Drosophila melanogaster: one gene and its partners. The protein of the gene in region 4 purifies or fractionates together with the protein of the main gene of each other region. This does not show direct contact. Each region holds a gene or a part of one and is shown on either strand. Other genes may lie near its edges.

Region 1 (5,224 bases), on a different chromosome or scaffold from region 4:
AATTTCATTTTAATCTTAAGCAAATTCAGTGTCCACACAAATCGAAAGAGAGAGAATCGGTGAAAAGTGAAAATCCGTGAGATCTTCCCAAATTAAATAGAAAGTTTTCGTAATATTTACATTTGTGAGAAAATGAAAACTTCGACTACGCGCACTTTAAACTTAAACCATTATTAAAAGCGTCTAAGGTTTTTTAATTTTTTAATTACAATTTGTTGGTTTTAAAACGCAAATAAATATTTAAATATCTTTCATATTTACCTCATCGGTGCTCAGAGTCATGCTAATGGAATCATTGACGGGCAGAATTAGCTCTTCGTGCCGCTTTCCCCCTTTAAAGGAATGCATGTGCATAAGTTTATGTGCTTATAATATATGTATTAATTTACCCACAATATTTGATGAGCGCTATGTTTACGGGCGCCACACAAGTAACCGAAAACATGTTTGAAAATGTTTTTAATTCAGAAATTCACTTGTTTTCAGCTGCTTTCCAGCGAAAGCGACAACTGTTGACTGCGGTGTGACCACCCAGTGGACTCTTCAAATATACCATGTGGCCCCAAAAAATGTAGTTGTGGGTATTCCCCAATTACCGCCCATATTGAGGTTTGAGTCACGGCTAAATCGCTATTTCCATTTATTTTTAAACCAATGAAAGTTTGTAGTGAGTAAACATTAGTGTTAATAAAAATAGAAAATACATTAGCGTTAAGCATAGAGCTGTGTTTGGTTTTTGTATTTATTAGAATTGTATTTTAAATGTGAATACTTGCAGCCGCAACCATTCCGATTTCATGTGTTTCCAAATTATTTACGTGTTTAGTTTTCTTTTGGTTGTGTGTGGCTTTGAGAGACGCGGGTTGAGTAGCATGCGGTGCATTAACTTGGTTAAATTGAATGGGTCGGATGAAATGATGGGGACTAGCCCTTGAGGCTCGTCATGCCCGCACGCATCACCTCGTCGACGAGAAGCAGGTTGCTGGCAATGATCGAACAGGAGTTGAGGATCTGCTTCTTAACGATGTAGTTGTCGTAGACGCCCAGATCCACGGGCTTCATGGGCTCCCCGGTGGCCAGATCCAGGCCGACCAGTTCGGGACTCAGGCGATCCTCAACAGTCAGCTTGACGATTGTGTCCTGGGCATCGTAGCCGCTGTTCACGGCCAGCGTCTTGGGAATGACCAGCAGGGCATCGGCAAAGGCCTGCACTGCCAGGCGGGACTTGCCCTTGATGGTGTCCTTGAAGGCGACCAGCTCGTTGTACGCGCGCACCTCGAATGCTCCAGCTCCGGGCACCAGAGCCTTATCGGCAATGGTGTTGTTGATGGCACGCAGACCGTCCCTGATGGCGTCCTTGATCTGGGTGATCGTGTGCTTGTTGGGACCCTTGATCAGGATCGTGACGGACAGCGGGTTCTTGCAGTCCTCAACGAAAGTGTACTTGTTCTCGCCCAGAACATGCTCGTACACCACACCGGCGTATCCCAAGTGCTCCTCCTGCAGATCGTCAAAGGAGTTCATTGCAGTGCCACCGCAGGCCAAAGACAGACGCTCCATGTTGCGGCGCTTGGCGCGACGCAAGGCCAGGATGCCCTCCTTGGCCAGGGCGTCCAGCGAGATGGGGTCGATGCCCTTCTGGTTGATCAGGACGAAGGTTTTGTCGGTGCCATCGCACACGGAGCGCTTCAATTCGATCACCTTCTTCACACGCTGGTCGATGAATTCGCGCTCGGCGCGCACAAAGGCCTCACGCTCCTCGGCGGTCTTGTAGAAGAAGCCAGAGTTGACCTCGGCCTTCTCGTACTCCAGCGAGACATTGGCCGTAAGGATGTAGGCATTCTCCAAACGCTTCGGCATGTCCGGGTGGCGAGCACCATGGTCCATGACTAGTCCACGCACCAGCTGTGTATCGGTATCGGATTTGTGCTGCATCTCCATCAGCTCCACCATGTGGAGGTCCACGGGCTTGGTCTTATCGGCACTGGCAATGGTCAGCACGGCATTCACGCAGACGTCCGTAAGCAGATCGGCAAGGGCGGGATGCACCTTGGTCTTCAGACTTGTGTTGGCCACCTCCACCAGGTTCTTCTTGTTGATCTCCACGGGCACCTTGACCTGGTCGAGCACCTCCAATGCCTTGTCGCGTGCCTTCTCGAATCCATCGGTCATGATGCGAGGATGCAGTCCCTCGGACAGATAGATATCGGCCTGCTTCAGGAGCTCGCCAATAAGCATCACAGTGGTGGTGGTTCCATCGCCGGTGGAATCATCCTGGGCCGTGCTGGCCCTGGCAATCATAGAGGCAGTCGGATGTTGGATCTGCATTTCGTGCAGCAGGACATTGCCATCCTTGGTGATCTTGATGTCGCCGGCGCCAGAAACCAACCTGCGAAGTTTCTAGAATTAGTATGCTTGTTTCACTTTTCACGGCGCGTGAGTCAAGTCACGCCTCTTTCGATGCCACTTTCTGAATCACCCGGTGCTGGATATGCAGGTAAACACACATTTATGAATAAATTAAAGCCTCTGGGGGCATCTTTCATTTAAGATTCTTTTTGAAATTAAATAAAAACACCTAAATTCTAAGCTTTTTGCTCCAGAGTTGCAACATTCTCTTTCTTTCTTTTGCGATGACGCATGCCGCTAGTTCCAGTCTAACCTCAAACTTGCAGTTGCCGCAGCTGTGACCAAAACGTTTGTTTTTTCGCCTATAAACTAGCATTCTCACTCAAATTGCTAATGGAACGCAAAGTGAGGGATATTAGAGGCCGGTTTTAGTAACTTACATCTTAACGGTGCCCTTGGGTCCCAAATTGGTGCGCATCACATCCTGCAGTCCCTTGGCGGCACTGATATTGATGGCCAGAGCCTGGGCGGCGCGGGCAAACTCGGCCTTGGGGTTCAGCAAGCTAATCGAAGCCATCGCGTGTCGCAATTAAACAGAGATTTTCTTAGCTCGGCAAAATAAATCAATAGGAATCGGCACAAATCCAAGCACGCTTAAAGTTAGGCGAATCGAAGAAATCAGATGGCAAGTGTGACCAGATGGGGGAAAGACAACTAGAGACTTCAAAGCAGTACAATCGATAGTATTGTAATCACTTCCAATTTGTAACACTTTTATTTATTTCTAATTAGATTTTTCGTTGTGGTGGCTTACATGCAAAATGACATTTAAAAAATGTTTCATATATATATCTTTTTTTTTATTTAAATTTATTAAACGAAATTATTTTATTGACTAGCGTACCATTACCCTTCTTGGGCAACTTAATTTAATCGGTATCAATTTAAGCGATTCTTAATATCTAAGTTATTTACAAAGATTATATGATTATGAGTATTAAAGAAGGTCTTAAGGGTGGTAATATATTTCCCGCTAGTAATGGCTATTTCCCGCTAAATCACTGCAAAATAAGCCGCACAATTTAATCGGCTCACCTGCGACCACCGATGGCGATTAGCAAATGAAATGCAACCGTGCGCCCAAACCCCAACACTAAAAAGTTTTTTTTTATTGGCCAAATCGGGATAAAATCAAGTCAAAATAAGGCACAATACTAGAGTGCGCCGACCGCAGCGTAGAGTACCAAGAGACTTAATTGAATTCTGATTGTTAACCGGACAGGACGAGGATCCGCAGGCGGCGCGATGAGTGTCCTGGCGTATCCACGTACCAACGACGAGGAGATTTTCCGTCACTGCACCAAGGACTGCGGCATGGTGACGGCCACAGATGACTTCCAGTACTTCGCCCTGCGTTGCATCTTCTGCAGCGAGAAGTTTCTCTACTTCGACTCCTTCATCGGCCACATGCAGACAGTTCACCTGGGCGACCAGTCCGTGGCGAATACCTCCTCCCGTCTCCCCTTCAATCTCGGCGAGCCCATGTCCCTGTCCGGTCGTAATGGGGATCTGCCCAACTTCCACGAGATCGAAGACTTAACGGACGCGGACACAGCGCTGCTGGAGCCCCAAATGGTCATCAAACAAGAGCTCCAGGATCTGCCCTGCAGCGATGATGATGTGGTCGCCGGCGAAGAAGACGACGATGAGCAACGGCTGAACGATTCCGAGGCCGATGAGGACGAGGCCATATTACCCGAAAGCGATGTACCGGTGGTCAGTTCCAAGACGCGGGCACGCAAAAAGGTCACAAAGCAGCGCCAGAGGGACATGTCTAGCGAGCTTCTCATCGCCGGTGACGGCGATTCATCCATGGACGACTACGGTGATCCGGATCACAGCTATATGGACGACAATTCCGGAGAGTACATGGACTTTGCTGGATTCGACGGCGTTAACCACAGTGGTTTCGGAACCGAATCGGACTTTCTCAGCTATGATGAGATGGTGGAGGAGTCCCTGCTGGGAGTAAGTTATATTTTTATACTATATACATACAGATATTTTTGTTAAAATTTTCGCCCATCGATTTAAAAGCTACATTTATTTCACCCTTAATTTTCACTAATATCCATATATACCTATTTGTAATGATTTTATCATTTTCCCACCCCTTAGCGCGACCGGGAGGTTACGATGCACATCAAGGACCGCAAGATGATCCAGTTTCTCATCCACTCGTATCAGCGCAACCCCTTTTTGTGGGACCACGGCAATGCACAGTTCCGGGATCGCGTTAAGCGCGCCCGCTTCCTCGACTGGATTGTGCTGGAGTTCAAGAGCCGGTTTAACATCTCGCTGGCCAAGGACGCCATCACCCGTAAGTGGGACAACCTGCGCACGGTATACAAGCGGGAGTGCAATCGCATGGCTCTGGAGAAGACCAACATCAGTACGCTGTGGTACTTCAAGGAGCTGCACTTCCTCAACGAGGTATACAGCTACAACGATAAGATGTCCGATGCTGTTGTTAAGGTTAGTGGCTCCCCTTTCAATTCGATCCTATGCGTCCGCTTCTCTGAATTGGGGGTGGATTGAAACGGAACCTTGTTAGCGGATTAATTAACGTAAACAGGTGGGCGACTTGAGTAGAGACTTTATTTATTTATCCAGCGACGTGATTGGGTGGCTGACTACCAAGTCCTCCGTTTACTTTAATATCGTAATTAATGTCTTGAAAATATAAAGGTTGACTTTTCTACACCACTAATTAATTTTTAAACTGAATTTCTCCTGCATATGCGCAGTAATAGTCCTCTTCTCCTCCTTCCTACCTCAGAATGCAACTCGTAAATGCCTAATCAAAGTTGTTAGT
Region 2 (5,287 bases), on a different chromosome or scaffold from region 4:
TAGCAAATATTGTGCCAGTCCCGCTGGTCAAGCTCTGACATGCCTTCAACTTGCTCAATGTGAACTGACGGAACTGCAGGATTTTGACCTGGGATTCAATAAGTTGACGCGATTTGATATCAGCTTTAATCAACTTACACAGCAGAGTGTGCGTCGGCTAACGGATCAACTGAATAGTTGCCGGCTGGAGCAATTGAATCTCAGTTATGTGCGCTGGCCCCTCGACGATGCAAGTGGATTTGCGTTGAGTGAGCGCCTGGTTACGCTTTTCGAAGGTGGTACCTGCGAGCGATTTGTCGGAGTGCAGCTCGCTGGCTGCGGCTTGAACGATGCGCATATGTACAATATCAGCCAGCATTTGGCCAAAGCCAAACAACTACAGATGTTGGATATCAGTGATAATAGCAATTTAAGTGGAACTACTCTTGGATACATATTAGATGAACTACCTCAATTACGCGATCTTTTGGCCGTTAATTGTACAAATCTACTGGATGACATTCGTCTGCAAAAACTCGAACAACTAAAGCAGCTGCCCAGGCGCTTAGAATTAACAGTTGATGAGCAGGTGTTCTCCATGCCAGGAGCCCTGGAAACACTTCAGTCCATTTGGCAGCTGCAATTTGGAGACAAGGCCAAAATGTTGACCACATCAAATAGCCGGAAAATTGGAAGGCGGTACAAAGGTCTACTTAAGCTACTCGCTGATGGAAGCGATGCGGAATAGTGTAGTCTCATCATGTGTAAACCATTTCCTTGTGTTGTATGTCCCAGAGCATTTTTTATTGTTTGACAATTATATAGCAAATCTAAGTACAGTAAGTCTTATCGTTCAGTTGATAGCAGAACAGCGATTCGTTGAACCTAAGTAGAACAAACACTCAGCCCCCACAGGGCTTATCTTATCAATGGATGATAGCTAGCGAAATAATTTGCGATGGTCTAGACTCTACAATTTTGGGGGTAAGTGAGGGCAAGATTAGAGAAACTTGAAATATTAAGAATTAGTAAACATACTAACGCACTGACTGTTTGCTTACTTCTTCCTTCCTTTTATACACTTGAGGAATAAGTAATTCCTTAGAAATTACCAAGTGCCATTTATACAACATTTCCCTCAACAGACAAATCACAATCAATGATTTATATTTTCTTGTAATTATTTACTTATTGTACTTTATTAATCGGATTTGTGAATGTGTCTACAATGAGCATGACAACTGATGAGGTGAATGGAGATGAGGAATCCTAGTTAAAACTGACTTAGGCTTGACCCTTAGCAGCCTCGTACATGTTTCGGGAAATGATGAGGCGCTGGATCTGAGAAGTACCTTCGTAGATTTGGTAGATCTTGGCATCACGCATCAGCTTCTCCACGGGATACTCGCTGTTGAAGCCGTTGCCTCCAAAGATCTGGACGGCATCGGAGGCAATCTTGTTGGCCATATCGGCGGCATGGCACTTGGCAATGGAGGCATAGTAGCTGTTGCGGCGTCCCTGGTCGATTTCCCAGGCGGAGAGACGCCACGCCAGACGGGATGTCTCCACACCGATGGCCATATCAGCCAGCATGAACTGCACAGCCTGGTGGTAAGCGATGGGCACGCCAAAGGTCTTGCGTTCCAGCGCGTATTTAAGAGCCTCATCCAAGCAACGCTGGGCCAAACCCACAGCTCCGGCAGCAACTGGAGGACGCGTCTTATCAAAGGTGCCCATGGCAATTTTGAAACCGGCACCCTCGCCAATCAGCACATTTTCCTTGGGCACGCGCACATCCTCGAAGGTGATGCCACGCGTGTCGGAGGCGCGCTGTCCCATGTTCAACTCCTTGCGGCCGGGCGTTAGTCCGGGACTGTCGCGCTCCACAATGAACCCGGTGAAGGCCTTGCTGGGCGGGCACTTGGGATCCGGATTGGTGCGGGCCAGCACAAAGTACCAGTTCGCCACACCACCGTTGGTGATCCACATCTTCTGGCCGTTGATTACCCACTCATCACCCTTCTTCTCGGCGCGTGTCTTGATGCCGGACACATCGGATCCTGCTCCGGGCTCTGTAACACAATAGGCGGCGACAAGTGGCTCCTCCAGCAGGCGGCCCAGGTACTTTTTCTTCTGTTCCTTGTTACCGGACAGGATCACAGGAGTTTGCTATGAAAGAACGTGGCGTTTCGATCATCTTGCCGTAAATAGACATGACTTTAAACTTACGCCCAGACCACTAGCCTCTAAGGCGGTCATGATGCCAGTGCAGCCATAGGCCAACTCCTCGGCCGACAAGCAGGTGGTGAACACATCGAGATCCAGGCCACCAATATCAGCAGGAATGTGGTTGTTCATCAGGCCCAGTTCCCAGGCCTTCTTGATGATGGGCCACGGGTACTCGCCGCTCTTGTCGTACTGGGCGGCCACCGGGATGATCTCCTCACGGGTGAACTTACGTGCCAGTTCCTGCAGCTGCAGCTGATCCTCGGTGAGTGCGAAAGAGGTGCCATTGGGCGAAACGTGTGACACGGCGGCGTAGGCGCGACTTTGGGACACCAACTGGCGCAGGGCAGGCGCAGCAAGCTGGATTTTCGGATATTGGATATCGGATTTAAAGTCAACTGGTAAACAAGTGTTTATCGAAATGCAAAATGAAAATGTAGAAATAATCAGAACAACAACAAAGTTGACCGCGAATTAATCTTAACTACAAGCAACAAATAAAATGGGCCAACTACGTATGTATTTAATTAATACAACATCATGATCATAGACGAAGGTTTTTTTTATATTTACAAGGGACTTTGGATGTTTGAGGTTCATAACCAACCATCACATTCTATTTTTTTCATAAAACAGATAACGAATATGCCTGCCCATAAAGTTTGCATTCCGATTTAAATAGAGTGCACGATAAGCCGCCATTAGACGCCGCTAATAATACTTTCTCAGGGGGGGCAAAGTACAGATGATTGCTAACAGATAGGCAGCAACAAATTGTTTTCGAAACGGAACCCACTCGAATATATGTTTGTTGGTAGGTACATATGTATATGTATGTATGATCCTACGATCAACAGTTGCTGTCGTCACTAGCGTGATAGAACTTTGGACCTTTGGATATGATATGTCCCAGCGATGTGTTTTTCACTTTCTCTGCGTTGTAAATTGACTGATATGCTCACCTTGTTGAGGAACGCCATTTGAATGTGGGTTTATTTTCGTATTTTCCTGAGTTTTAACTAGGTCGCCTTGCTAACTCGTCGGTGGCTGCCAGCGAAATGATCCAAACGAGTTGCCGATGCGCCGGTATAGCGATGTTATATATGTACATACATATGTACATTGGTTCATCGCGATATGGCAGCGACGCTTGGACATTGGACCTTGTTGCGCTGGCAGTCGCAAAAGCTACAGAATCGTGGTGACGAACGAACTACAAGCATATGCACCTACAAATATATGCAGGAGGTTGAGATAAGGGAAGATTTCGCAGACATTTGTATGCGCTGTTGATGGAACTTTCCCAAAGCTTTTCGAAGAGTTAACAAATTTGTTTGTACCTCGCCTTAATTGTAATATAATGCTTATATAAATAAATTGTATTGTAAAATATTTTTAAAATACCAACTGTACATTTCATCCAGGTTTTGTCAAGTACATAGGCATATGTGTATGAAGAGACACACCCCCTTTTTTAAGATATCAATGTACCACACGAAATACCCTACGAAATAAGCTTAATAAAACATAGCTTTAACGTAATGCCCAGCAATCTACGTAAGGTAAAAGCTTTCAGTTCACAACGTAACGTATTGCTTCTGGGCAATAGGTATAAAATAATACAATCGGGTATATTAGGCTTGAAAATGTTCGTCGGCAGAGGTCATTGAGGGATAATTCATATTAAATAGTAATATACTATATTTTGGTTAGTTTAGAATAAAATGTAGAGACAATTAGATAATTATAGGTTTCATTCGCTTTAACTTTTTAACCCCATTTTTCCATATTCAAAACATTTAAAACATGATTTGATATGTTAAATAATAAAATAAGAACCAACAGGATAGTCCCTAGTCGTTAGACTTCGCTGCCACCTGTTAGGTGCTTAACAATCGGAGCATACTTTCCCGCTTGACACAAATAGACGGAACATGTTCCTCTGGCTGTTTTAAAAATAACAGATTGCAGCCCCGCCTCCCAGCGACAAAAAAATCTCCAGCGAAACGAATTGGAAATCCGTGACACAGTTGACAGGCAGATATAAAAAACAGAGCACTACGTGGCGCGGCACGAAGACATCATTAAATCAGCATCCGCAGCCATCCAAAGTCGTAATCAGCCGTTGAAGCGAGTGGTATCTCTTATCAGCCAGGCCAGGCGCATAAAACTGGGTCCGGTTAAAGCTCTTCCGCCACGACGAGGACGAACGCGCACAGCCGAGCTGGAGCCGAAGTGGTTCGGGTGGTGCGATGGCGGGTGGCGAGTCCTGTGGCGTCTAAGGCCCAACTGGGATAGCTGCTCCTAGTCAGTCATTTGACATTGCTCCTGCGAGAAGGTTGTCCACGGTCCGAGCCCAAATCCTCCGTCGCCCACAACTCGTCCGCAAGCCAGCCGTAGTGTGTGTTTTTTTGTGCTACCCACTCCCACTTTTGGGATACATATAAAAGTGCCACCCCCGCCTTCCCAAAAAAAAAAACCGCCTCATAGAGGAGTGAAATTTTAAACAAGTGTTACCTAAGCCCAAACCTCAAAGAAACCACAACAAAAAGGGAGCAGTAGTTGAAGGTTGCGGCAAAATGGCCCAGTTTGTGACCCACATCCAGCCAACGCTGATGGAGGCGTCCCAAGGTCATGTTCCTCACCACCACGGACATCAGGTGGGTGTGCAGCACTCGTCGCATCTGCCCCACAGCGGCCACAACATGCCCTCGCCGCCAACCCACAATCACCATCATGCCCACGGACATGGTCATCATACCAGCAGCGGTGGTCATCATGGAGGAGCAGGTGGCCATTCACAGAAGCAGGCAGCGCATCATAGCACCACCTCCGGCCACGCCGCCAAGGGACAGCACCACAGCCCACCGTCGAGGATCCATTCACCGCCAACGGAACACCATCCGGATCATGTCGGTCACTACGAGTACTTCCAGCATCAGCACGAGCAGATCTTCCACCATGAAGGAGCAAACGGTGGTGCCAGCCACAAGCAACAGACCCACCACCATCCCAACAAGCACGAGCACTGCCCCACAGGACACCAGAGTGCGGTGAGTTGTCCTGCCTAGGATTACATCAT
Region 3 (4,813 bases), on a different chromosome or scaffold from region 4:
TTAATATTCACGCAATCTAACTAGAATACTTTTTCTTATTTGTAGAAGGGAAAATTCACCTCAACTGTTGGAGCAGAAAGCTGGCTGATCACCACTTTGGGTGGAGCATTGCTTCCTTGGGATGGCTTCTTCACCAATCTTCTGCACGCCATAGTTTTGGGACCACTGCGAATAGTTAGCTACGCTCTGCACAAGTACTTCAATAGTGTTATACGCAAATGCGCTCGAGAGGATAAGGCCAAGGCCACATCGCAAGTGGAGTCCAAGTGAAATCTCTCTTGTCCCGCTGCCCTTAAAGTATTCCCAAGTGCCCATAATTAAATCACTTTTTTATAATTAATCAAAATGTGCGATTGTTTTGCATGGTTAGCCTATTCATATATTACAATTCCCGTATTATCATTCATTTTTATATATATATTTGTATGTGCATTTGAACTTTTTTATTATTGCCGTGCTAGGGTTTTAACTATTTGTATCGTGTTTTCTAGACTAGATGACGTGTGCTCGTTTTGTTGGTGTGTGCTTCGTTTTAACAAAAATAAAATGTATTTACTGTTCAGAAAATGAGTCGTTTTTAAATAACCACTTAGTGATTGTGCTAATCGCTAAAGCAATTTCACGCATTGGCCTAATCAAAATTGGTTTCGTATCTTAAAATCGAACAGCAAACTACATGCAGAAGCGATTAGATAAATACAAAAACCACGCCACAAAAGCCATCAACCTTTTCCAAATGGTTCAAAATTCAACGATAAATTATTTGGTTTTCTTTTGTCTTTCTTTATTCATAAGACGCACCCAGTGTACACTTCCTATAGTTTCAGTTTTCAATTCGCCTTTTTTTAACATTCTGTATAGTTAACGCTAACAAAAATTGTATAATCATAATGCAAAATATATATATATATATGTTTGTATATATATTTAGACATATTATTATAGCATCTTAGCACGATAATCAAAAATAATTGGATTCAAATACAGTAAGTCTACTTTTTGGATAGAAGAGTTATTAAATTATTGTTAGGATTAGGATGAAAAACTAAATTAGAGCTGATCTGCAGTATTTCGGTATCGTTTGGGATTTACAATAGATAGAAAGCATTGTAAATAAATATAAATTTAAACAAGCAGTTAGATTAAACAATAAACAAGGTATTTTGCACAAGACGCCGTACGACAACTCAACAGTGAAACGAAAAATGCTACACAAACCGAAAAGGAAAATCATATTATAAGCTTGTTTCTGGTTGATGTTATGCTGCTGGTTCCCATTCCGGGCTGCTTTCGGTAGCTTTCTCTAGTAGTCCTCAATGGCAATGATCTGCGGTGGTTTGATGGACGATGCTGTTGGCGACCCCACATCCTTGGTCGCTGCGCTGTCGCTGGTTGGTGATGGTGGCGCTGCAGCTGCAGAAGAGGCATTTGAAGGATCACCCGATCCCGCTGCCGTCGCCCGCGTGTCCGACGTCTGTGCGGCTAATTGTCACTTTGAGTTGCCCGCCACGGAACCGGGTCCGGAACCCGCCAGATCATTCACCCGCTGGTAGCGCGGTTTATTGCGGGTAAACGGCAAGTACTTGTACTTGATCATATGCTTGATCTGGCGCTTCATCGTGATGCAGAAGAGCGTGATAAAGTACATGACCAGGATGGGCCAGAATACCGGCACGTTGAAGAAATCGAAGAACGTACAAATCAGACCGATGAGCGTGCTCTTCGCCACCGACAGCCAGAACTTGAACTCCGGCAGGCGGCGAATGAATGGCCGGAACTCTTCGTTGCTGCGAGTTGGCAGATTGGGTCCCTCGTCCTCGTCATCCTGCGAATACGGATCGAACTCCGGGTCGATCTTGGGCGTTAAAAAAGCGATAAACAGGTTCAAGTGGTAAATGCCAAGCGCATAGCACACGATGTACCAGCCCTGATAGATGAAGATGCGCAGCACAAAGAGCAGGAGCAGAAAGCCGGCGAACACCCAGCGCATTCGTGTGTGCGGTGTGCTACGGTCCAAGGCGGATTGGTAGGTCTGCGGAAGCAAAGGATGCGGGTTAGTTCCCGGCACGTACGGGCTATCCACAATTACTTACCTGTGAGAGGCGCTGAAAGAACTTCTTAACCCCGCCGCCGCCGGCAGCACTGCTGTCCTCGTTCATCATGGTCGTCGTCGGTAGTCTCTCATTAATCTCCGGCCCTCGACTTTTATTGTTGACTTTGACGCTGTCGTTGTTCTCGCTGCACACGTGTATCGATTCGGGAATTGCAAAATTTTCCGGGACGGGGGCAGGGGCTGCCGGAAAGGGGCTAACAAAACACGAAATGGGCCAACTGGCAAACTAGACGCGCTTCAATCGCTAATTATTCTCTAATTCATATTCTGCACCGCCCGTCGTCGCCTTCTTCTTCTTCCTCCTTGTTGTAGGGCTGTTTCAACTGTCAGTTTCCTGAGATTGCTATATAGACAGTATTCGGGATTCGTAAAGTTCTGGCCACAGTTTAGTGCGTTTCTATGCGGTAACTAATTTAATTACACTAGAGATTTGTCGGCAATTTATTGTTCTTTTTTCACACAGAGTTCACCACGTCATTATGCTCTCTCAGTGGCAGGGCTGTCAAACTATCGGCTGGGGATGGAACAATCGGGAGTTGAGCGATTATCGCGAAAGGTAATTGTTTGTTTTAATTTTTTATCTAAGTGCTGTCGATATTTTAAAAATAGGTAGAGGTACATTTAATATATAAAAACATAGCCAGTTTCCTTGTGCTATATGGTTGTACGTCCGAATTTGTCTCCTCTCTAATATATCGATTGCTTTATTCAATAGTCAAATTTATTTCAAATGTAATATTAATGTTTATCGAAATTTTATTAGCAAAATGTGAAATAGCCATTGTCGCTACTGTTTTGGATGAATATTCTAACACAATCCTAGACATGCTACATATATTTAGATCCGGTTTGCTTATGAGCTCGCCTGCTCCTCCGGCGCGTCGTCATTCTTGTTCTCCTCATCACCTTGCAAGGCCTTGGCTCGTTTTATGCACGAATTGACCGTGTTGAGGAACTCACTGGCGATCTCTTCCTTGGCGAATCGACAGGCAAGGCGTTCCAGGACGCCCTCGGTGTCAACTTTACCCTCTGCGTCCACCGCGTAGTTGTAGCCGGCCCACAGGAAGCTCTTCATCTGCGCGTTCATGTAATCCATTTGCAGGGAGGCGGAGATATTCATGTTAAGCACCAGCTTGTGGATCTGCTCCTGCCGCATGATCAGTCGGAATGTCTGCAGCTCCGGGTGCTCCAGCACCTTTATCTCACCGACACCTTTTTTTTTTTTTTTTGGTTTTATAAAAACTTTTAGTGTGAATAAGAAAGGGACTATTACTACAGCTTACCTCGCTCCTTCCATTGTTTCGATTCGGCGTCATAGCGATAAAGCTTCGCCCGCTCGCCAAACAGCTTAGTCTCGTTCTCCTCTCCCGTGGTGACAACTATCTCATCCGGCAGCTCTACAATGGCATCATAGTGCGGATCGTAGTTGTCATCAGTGGTCGCGTCGCCGTCATCATCGCACTCTTCTGTGGCTTGCGGCGACTCGAAGTTCTTGAAAGCGTTCTGATGCGTGAGGTTATAAAAGCCGCCCCCGGCGGACTTGTTGAATCCCACGGTAGTGCCCTGGCTATTGGCCGACAGGTTGGCAAAGTCGTTGCCCGTCTTGTTCGCTAAGTCCGCAAAAGTGCCGCCCGGATTGCTTGCCAAATCTGCAAACGTGCTGCCTGTCTTGGCCAAATCGGCAAATGTGCTGGTCGTCTCCGGCACCAACTCCTTCTTTTCCTTGCCTTCGGCTTTAAGATCAGTGGTGTTATTCGAGGTTATGTCCTTTTCCTTTTCATTTTTTGCAGCTGTAAATGAGAAGGTTGCCATTTGTCCAAAAGCGGGTGCACTGCCAAACACAAAGTCTTTAGCAGGTGACTGGGTTTCAATTTTGGGTATTCCAAAGGCGTTGGACCCTCCAAATAACAATGGGGTTCCGCCAATGATAGATTTTGGTTCTTCCTTGCCATCTGATTTTTGCAAATTAACTTTGTGGCCTCCAAAAGGATTGGCGTCTCCGAACACAGGTGCGGCAATTCCACCGAAGGCCAACTTCGGTGCTTCTTGGGTCGCTGGCGATTGGGAATCCGCTTTATTGCCTCCGAAGACAGACTCTGAGGAATCTTTCTTCTGTTGCTCAGCCGCTTTATTTCCACCCCCGAAAAAGAACTTGACAGAACCGTCAGACGAATTTTCGTTTGACGAGCCGCTACGGAATATAGATCCCAAAACGTTTCCTTGTCCTTCGCCTGATGCTAGTTTTTGAAGATTAGCTAATGGGCCAGCATCCTTTCCAGGCTCCGATTTATCTGAAGTGAACATAAAAAGCGGTTAGATCCTTTTATCTTGAGGTCAACGTCGAATTATACATACCCGTGCTACCGAAAATGAATGCTGAACTAGGCGTTTTGCTTGCCTCAGAAGCCGAAGAGTTATTTCTGCTCAGCGAACTGCCTTTGAACAATATGGTGGCAGGTGTTTGGTAATCGTTAGGCTTGGCCAATGGCTGGGGGAGAGTCAGTAGGGGAAGGGTCATGGGAAGTGGAGGGATTACTTCGTGCGTGGTTGGCCTTACAGAAGAGGTTTTGCCAACATCAAGTACTTCCGATTCGCCTCCTCTGCTCTTTGCCGCCCCATCATTTTTTTGGGACGGTTTATTTGCTTCCGTCGATTGGGAAACGGAGCCGACCACTGGGCTATCTTCTATCGGCTTTGCGG
Region 4 (4,129 bases):
TGGGCGTGAGCGGACTGGCCCAGCAGATGTTCCCGCTAGCCACGCTCAAGGCGGCGGCAGTGGCTGCTGGTCTTCCCCTGCCACCTACGATCACGCCGCCTGGTTGCAGCACCGGCAGCGCAACCAACAGCAATGTCGGTTGTCTGATCATCGAGCCGCATCTCTTTGCGGCGGCGGACAACTTCAAGAAGGAACTGACAGCGGCTGCGGCAGCTGGAGCACCTTTGGGATTGTTCCAGAACCTGGCCAACCAAGTGCAGAACGCCAATCGTTTGAACGGCAGCTGCCCGAGCTTACCCATGGGTAATCCCACTCCTCCGCCGCCGCCGCCAGCGCCACCAGCCTCCAAGGTGCGAAGGGTACAACCTTCGCCGCAAACCACGGCCATCAACCTAAGTTGCTCCGGAGGGAATTCCGTACAAACGCAGCAGCAGCAGTCAATGCAAATGCCACAAATTCAACAGCAACAACAGCCGTCGCCCGCCAAAACGCGTAAGATTTGCGATCCGCGTTTTCCGAGCGATTGGGACGTCTCTGCCGTGCTACAGGCCAACAGAGAACTTGACGCAAACACTCTTTTCTTCTTGAGTCTGGCGCGGCAGGTGCGAGCTATGCCCATGAAATTCCAGTCGCTCGCCAAGATGCGTTGCATGCGAATCGTCAGTGATTTGGAGCTAGAGCTGGAGAACTTTGATTGCAACGGTGGAGCGCCACCGCCGGATGATTCAGGCGGAGGAGGAGCTGGGAATCTCAAGTACTGCAGCATAGATACTCCGCCACCGCCGCCGCAGGACGGCTCCGTGGTCATACCCCCGCCGCCAGTCGGCCCCGAGGGCTCCACGGAGCACTTTGTGTATGTGATGTCGCCGTCGCGTGTGGAGAGCATGATAGACATCTCCTCCGACGAGGAGGCGACCATGAATGGAGCGCCCTCCACGGGCCAGGTTTAAGCGTATTCGTACAAGTTATCTCTAAATTAAAATTAAATTAATCTCAACTAGGTTCCTTCGGTTGGTCTTTCAATCAGTTTATTTTGGAGCGGCGGGTGATCCGATGCTTAGGTGTACAAAATGTGGAAAAATCTCCGGGACCCGGCAATTTGATGGTACATGACTTTAGTGCGAATGAATTTCATTCAAAATCTCGATGACGAAGGCATCCTCTACTTAGGACTGCACCTTGCCCTTGGTGGTGAAGGCGAAGTATGCGAATCCGCCGACCAAGAAGGCGGCCAAAAGCTCAGCCTTGATCCAGGGACCCTTGTAGGCACCCTTGGTGGGCACGGAAATGTCGAGCAGCGACTTCACCGATGAAACCTTGTCGCCATCCCGCTGGGCCTTGCGCACATTGGCATAGCCATCCTCGTCGAAGAGACGCACCTGAACATTGCCGCTGCTGCCCTGCTTGATATCCTCCACCCAGCTCACCTAGTGCAGAACAGAGATTAGCCTTTGCACAAAACTTGACGGGGCTACTACTGGCTCACCTGGTACTTGTTGTCGCCCACCTTGGCCACCGGCACCACCTTGCCGCAGGGGAACTCGGCGAACAGGCTGGCGGGAGCGGCTCCGCTGCACTGCAGCGTGAACTCGCCCACATGGGCCAGCTGGGTCAGAATCGTGGCATCCTGGGTGCTGAAAGAGCTCACGGTGGCCTTGCAGCTACCGTAGACGCCGGACGCACAAACGGCGGCAATCAGGCAAATGGCGAACAGTTGACGGGACATCTTGATCAAGTTATGAGGTGGTTTTTATTTAGTAATCAATGGAATAGGCGGAACTCTACGGCTATCCAACTCGGCGACCTGCGACTTTCTTTCTCTCTGGAAGCGAACGCCACGACAGCACCATACATACGTCACGTCACTTGACAGCTACGAAAATTGCCGAAGTCGTACCAGTTCGATGGTCACACTGGTCGTGACCAGGGATGGCAACGCTCAGTCGAGAATAGCTACAAAATAGCTAGTAGCCCGTGGTAAATTTTTCCGATTTTTTACTTGTTATATCTAAAAATACAGTTTTAGAAAGCGGTTTTTTGTAGTTTCCTAATGACATCTATATGTTAAGATTTCTCCGGGAATGTTTGTCGTTCGAATATGATAGCAATTAGTACGTATACGTAAATGTTATAAAATTCATATAAAATTTGTATATACAAGTATTAAAAATAAGTGCGTATACATAAAAAATATAAAAATATGGGATTCATTTTATTTGGAATAAAGTTATTACTAATGATGTCAGTCCTGTCAAAATAAATCTTTCCTAATTATAGGGGCATTGAGATATGTAGACTTAATTTCCTCCCATATCAATTCAATTTCTAGCGATTTCAATTTCAAATATATAATTTGAAAATATCGAATTTTAAATAAAAAACAATTATATTAAAGTTAAATATTAATAAATTAAATTAAATTTATAAATAAAAATATAATGACAAATAGAATTCTTCACCAACAGGTTAAATTTTTGTAGTCTTACTTTGATTAAAAGACTAAAATTCTTATTAAATTATATTTATACAAAATTGTAATGTTTTAAGGAAAAATTGCTCAGCTATGATCGAGTACCGAATGCAATCCATCACTTTGGAGGATTCTGCTTTAGATCGCTATTGCGCTGATATTAAAAACATCAAAGTGAACTTTGATCAAATTGGTGGCTTAATTTGTACTTAGGCAAATACCCAAAGTTCCTTGTCTAAAACGTCTTTGAGGGGATTCCTTTTGCAATACATTTACGTTGGGCTGACTTCATTTAAAATATGTATGTAAGTATCTATTTAATTTAAAGTCAATAGATAAAGTCCAGGCCGTTCCAGTCACAGTAATTTCGTACCGACTGCATTTCTAATTAAAATAAGTTTTCGTCTGACAGTTTTGCTATGGTACCGTTCTGTGATCGGTTACGACTAAGTCCAATATTTATGGCACTTCGATTGCAATTGATTTCGAATTGCAGCAGTGTCAGAGGAAACGGGAGTCCTGTCCAATCGTTGGGGGAGTCTTCAAAGTCGGGCCATAAGCACCGAGTATTGACTGGTGGCAGTGATTAATGCCCATCCAACTGGAATGGGGCTTTCAGCTTTGTTTTAAGTACATTTTATTGGCAATCGGAAAATCGGATACTATCGTATAAATACTTTGGCTAACAGGCATACGAATGTATGCGGATGTGACCTTGAAGTGGGCCTGATTTGGTTTTGCTTTTTTTGTTTACGGTTTTATGCCATTTTGTGTTTGTGTTTGCCGCCACCGTTCGAATCGGCTCCATTTTGCTATGTTCGTTACTTTCCTTTGATTGCCACCGCGCACGGAACTTTTCCACCGAACTTTGCATGTCTTTGATGAATTTGAAATTGTCACAAATGTGAAAGTTTTTCACTTGCCATCCCATCCGGTTGCCCATCCGCAGATACAGATACTCATACTCATACTAATACCGGCAACAACTGAATTTGCATCTAACATTTTGCTGACATTGAGCGACTTGTACGCATTTCTCCTTCCTCCTCCTCCCCTCTTCTCACCACTCTGCCAGCCTTTTTCCTGCTTCTTTTTTTTGGCTACTATTCATTCATTCATGGCCGGATTTGCATATTTGCCAAAAATGCCGTAATCCTTTCGATTAAGAGGCGTTCGGTGGGTGATTCGCAAATGAAAACAAAAGTTCGTGCGGGTTCATTGAGTCGCAGTCGAAAACTTGCCAGACCCACCGGAATTGCACGTGTCTTTGGGGGAGGAGTGGGTTGATCCGGGGTTGGCAGGTGGATCGACGGATGCATTGGGCAAAATAAAGTGCACTCTGACCGGAAACGAAATTGGTACTTAGATTGCAAACATAGAAGCAGGCGCGATTGTGTATAAGCCAAATTTTGGCGTTCTATATTCTACAATATTTTAATTTTGGGAGTTTTTCAACAACTCGCAAAAATAAATATTACAATAAACCTAAGTTTTTAAAAGTTTTTCATATAAAAAACGAACCAATTATTAACAGGATACATTTACTAATCGAGTATAATAGCTCATTTGTAAGGGACATTACCTTTTTTAATTTTTCCTAGATCACTCCAATTTCTTTCAGTGTGCTTCGGTGGATGGTTGTCTGACGTGTGGGTGTGA

The links.
Region 1: the proteins of Tapdelta (region 4) and CCT6 purify together in Drosophila melanogaster (affinity purification with mass spectrometry, with the first as the bait; one large-scale study listed by BioGRID). This does not show direct contact.
Region 2: the proteins of Tapdelta (region 4) and Mcad purify together in Drosophila melanogaster (affinity purification with mass spectrometry, with the first as the bait; one large-scale study listed by BioGRID). This does not show direct contact.
Region 3: the proteins of Tapdelta (region 4) and CG11857 purify together in Drosophila melanogaster (affinity purification with mass spectrometry, with the first as the bait; one large-scale study listed by BioGRID). This does not show direct contact.

What each region holds. Positions count from the first base shown.
Region 1 is NC_004354.4:15,744,473-15,749,696, reverse strand, and holds CCT6 (chaperonin containing TCP1 subunit 6), read right to left. Parts: upstream 3,050-5,224; 5' UTR 2,927-3,049; coding exon 2,790-2,926; intron 2,390-2,789; coding exon 925-2,389; 3' UTR 726-924; downstream 1-725. Other genes in the region: Mvd (mevalonate diphosphate decarboxylase), read right to left, coding at 262-332, 394-445; CG8944 (uncharacterized protein), read left to right, coding at 3,655-4,377, 4,528-4,884.
Region 2 is NT_037436.4:7,717,338-7,722,624, reverse strand, and holds Mcad (Medium-chain acyl-CoA dehydrogenase), read right to left. Parts: upstream 3,276-5,287; 5' UTR 3,186-3,275; coding exon 3,168-3,185; intron 2,727-3,167; exon of another isoform or gene 2,566-2,726; coding exon 2,209-2,565; exon of another isoform or gene 2,149-2,208; coding exon 1,264-2,148; 3' UTR 1,153-1,263; downstream 1-1,152. Other genes in the region: CG7457 (uncharacterized protein), read left to right, coding at 1-727.
Region 3 is NT_033777.3:25,256,713-25,261,525, reverse strand, and holds CG11857 (uncharacterized protein), read right to left. Parts: upstream 2,629-4,813; 5' UTR 2,163-2,628; coding exon 2,094-2,162; intron 2,033-2,093; coding exon 1,490-2,032; coding exon of another isoform or gene 1,304-1,489; 3' UTR 767-1,303; downstream 1-766. Other genes in the region: Kdsr (3-ketodihydrosphingosine reductase), read left to right, coding at 46-270; Nup358 (nucleoporin 358kD), read right to left, coding at 2,967-3,325, 3,397-4,404, 4,469-4,813.
Region 4 is NT_033778.4:11,369,287-11,373,415, forward strand, and holds Tapdelta (Translocon-associated protein delta), read right to left. Parts: upstream 2,050-4,129; 5' UTR 1,727-2,049; coding exon 1,487-1,726; intron 1,428-1,486; coding exon 1,167-1,427; 3' UTR 1,014-1,166; downstream 1-1,013. Other genes in the region: CG13204 (uncharacterized protein), read left to right, coding at 1-950.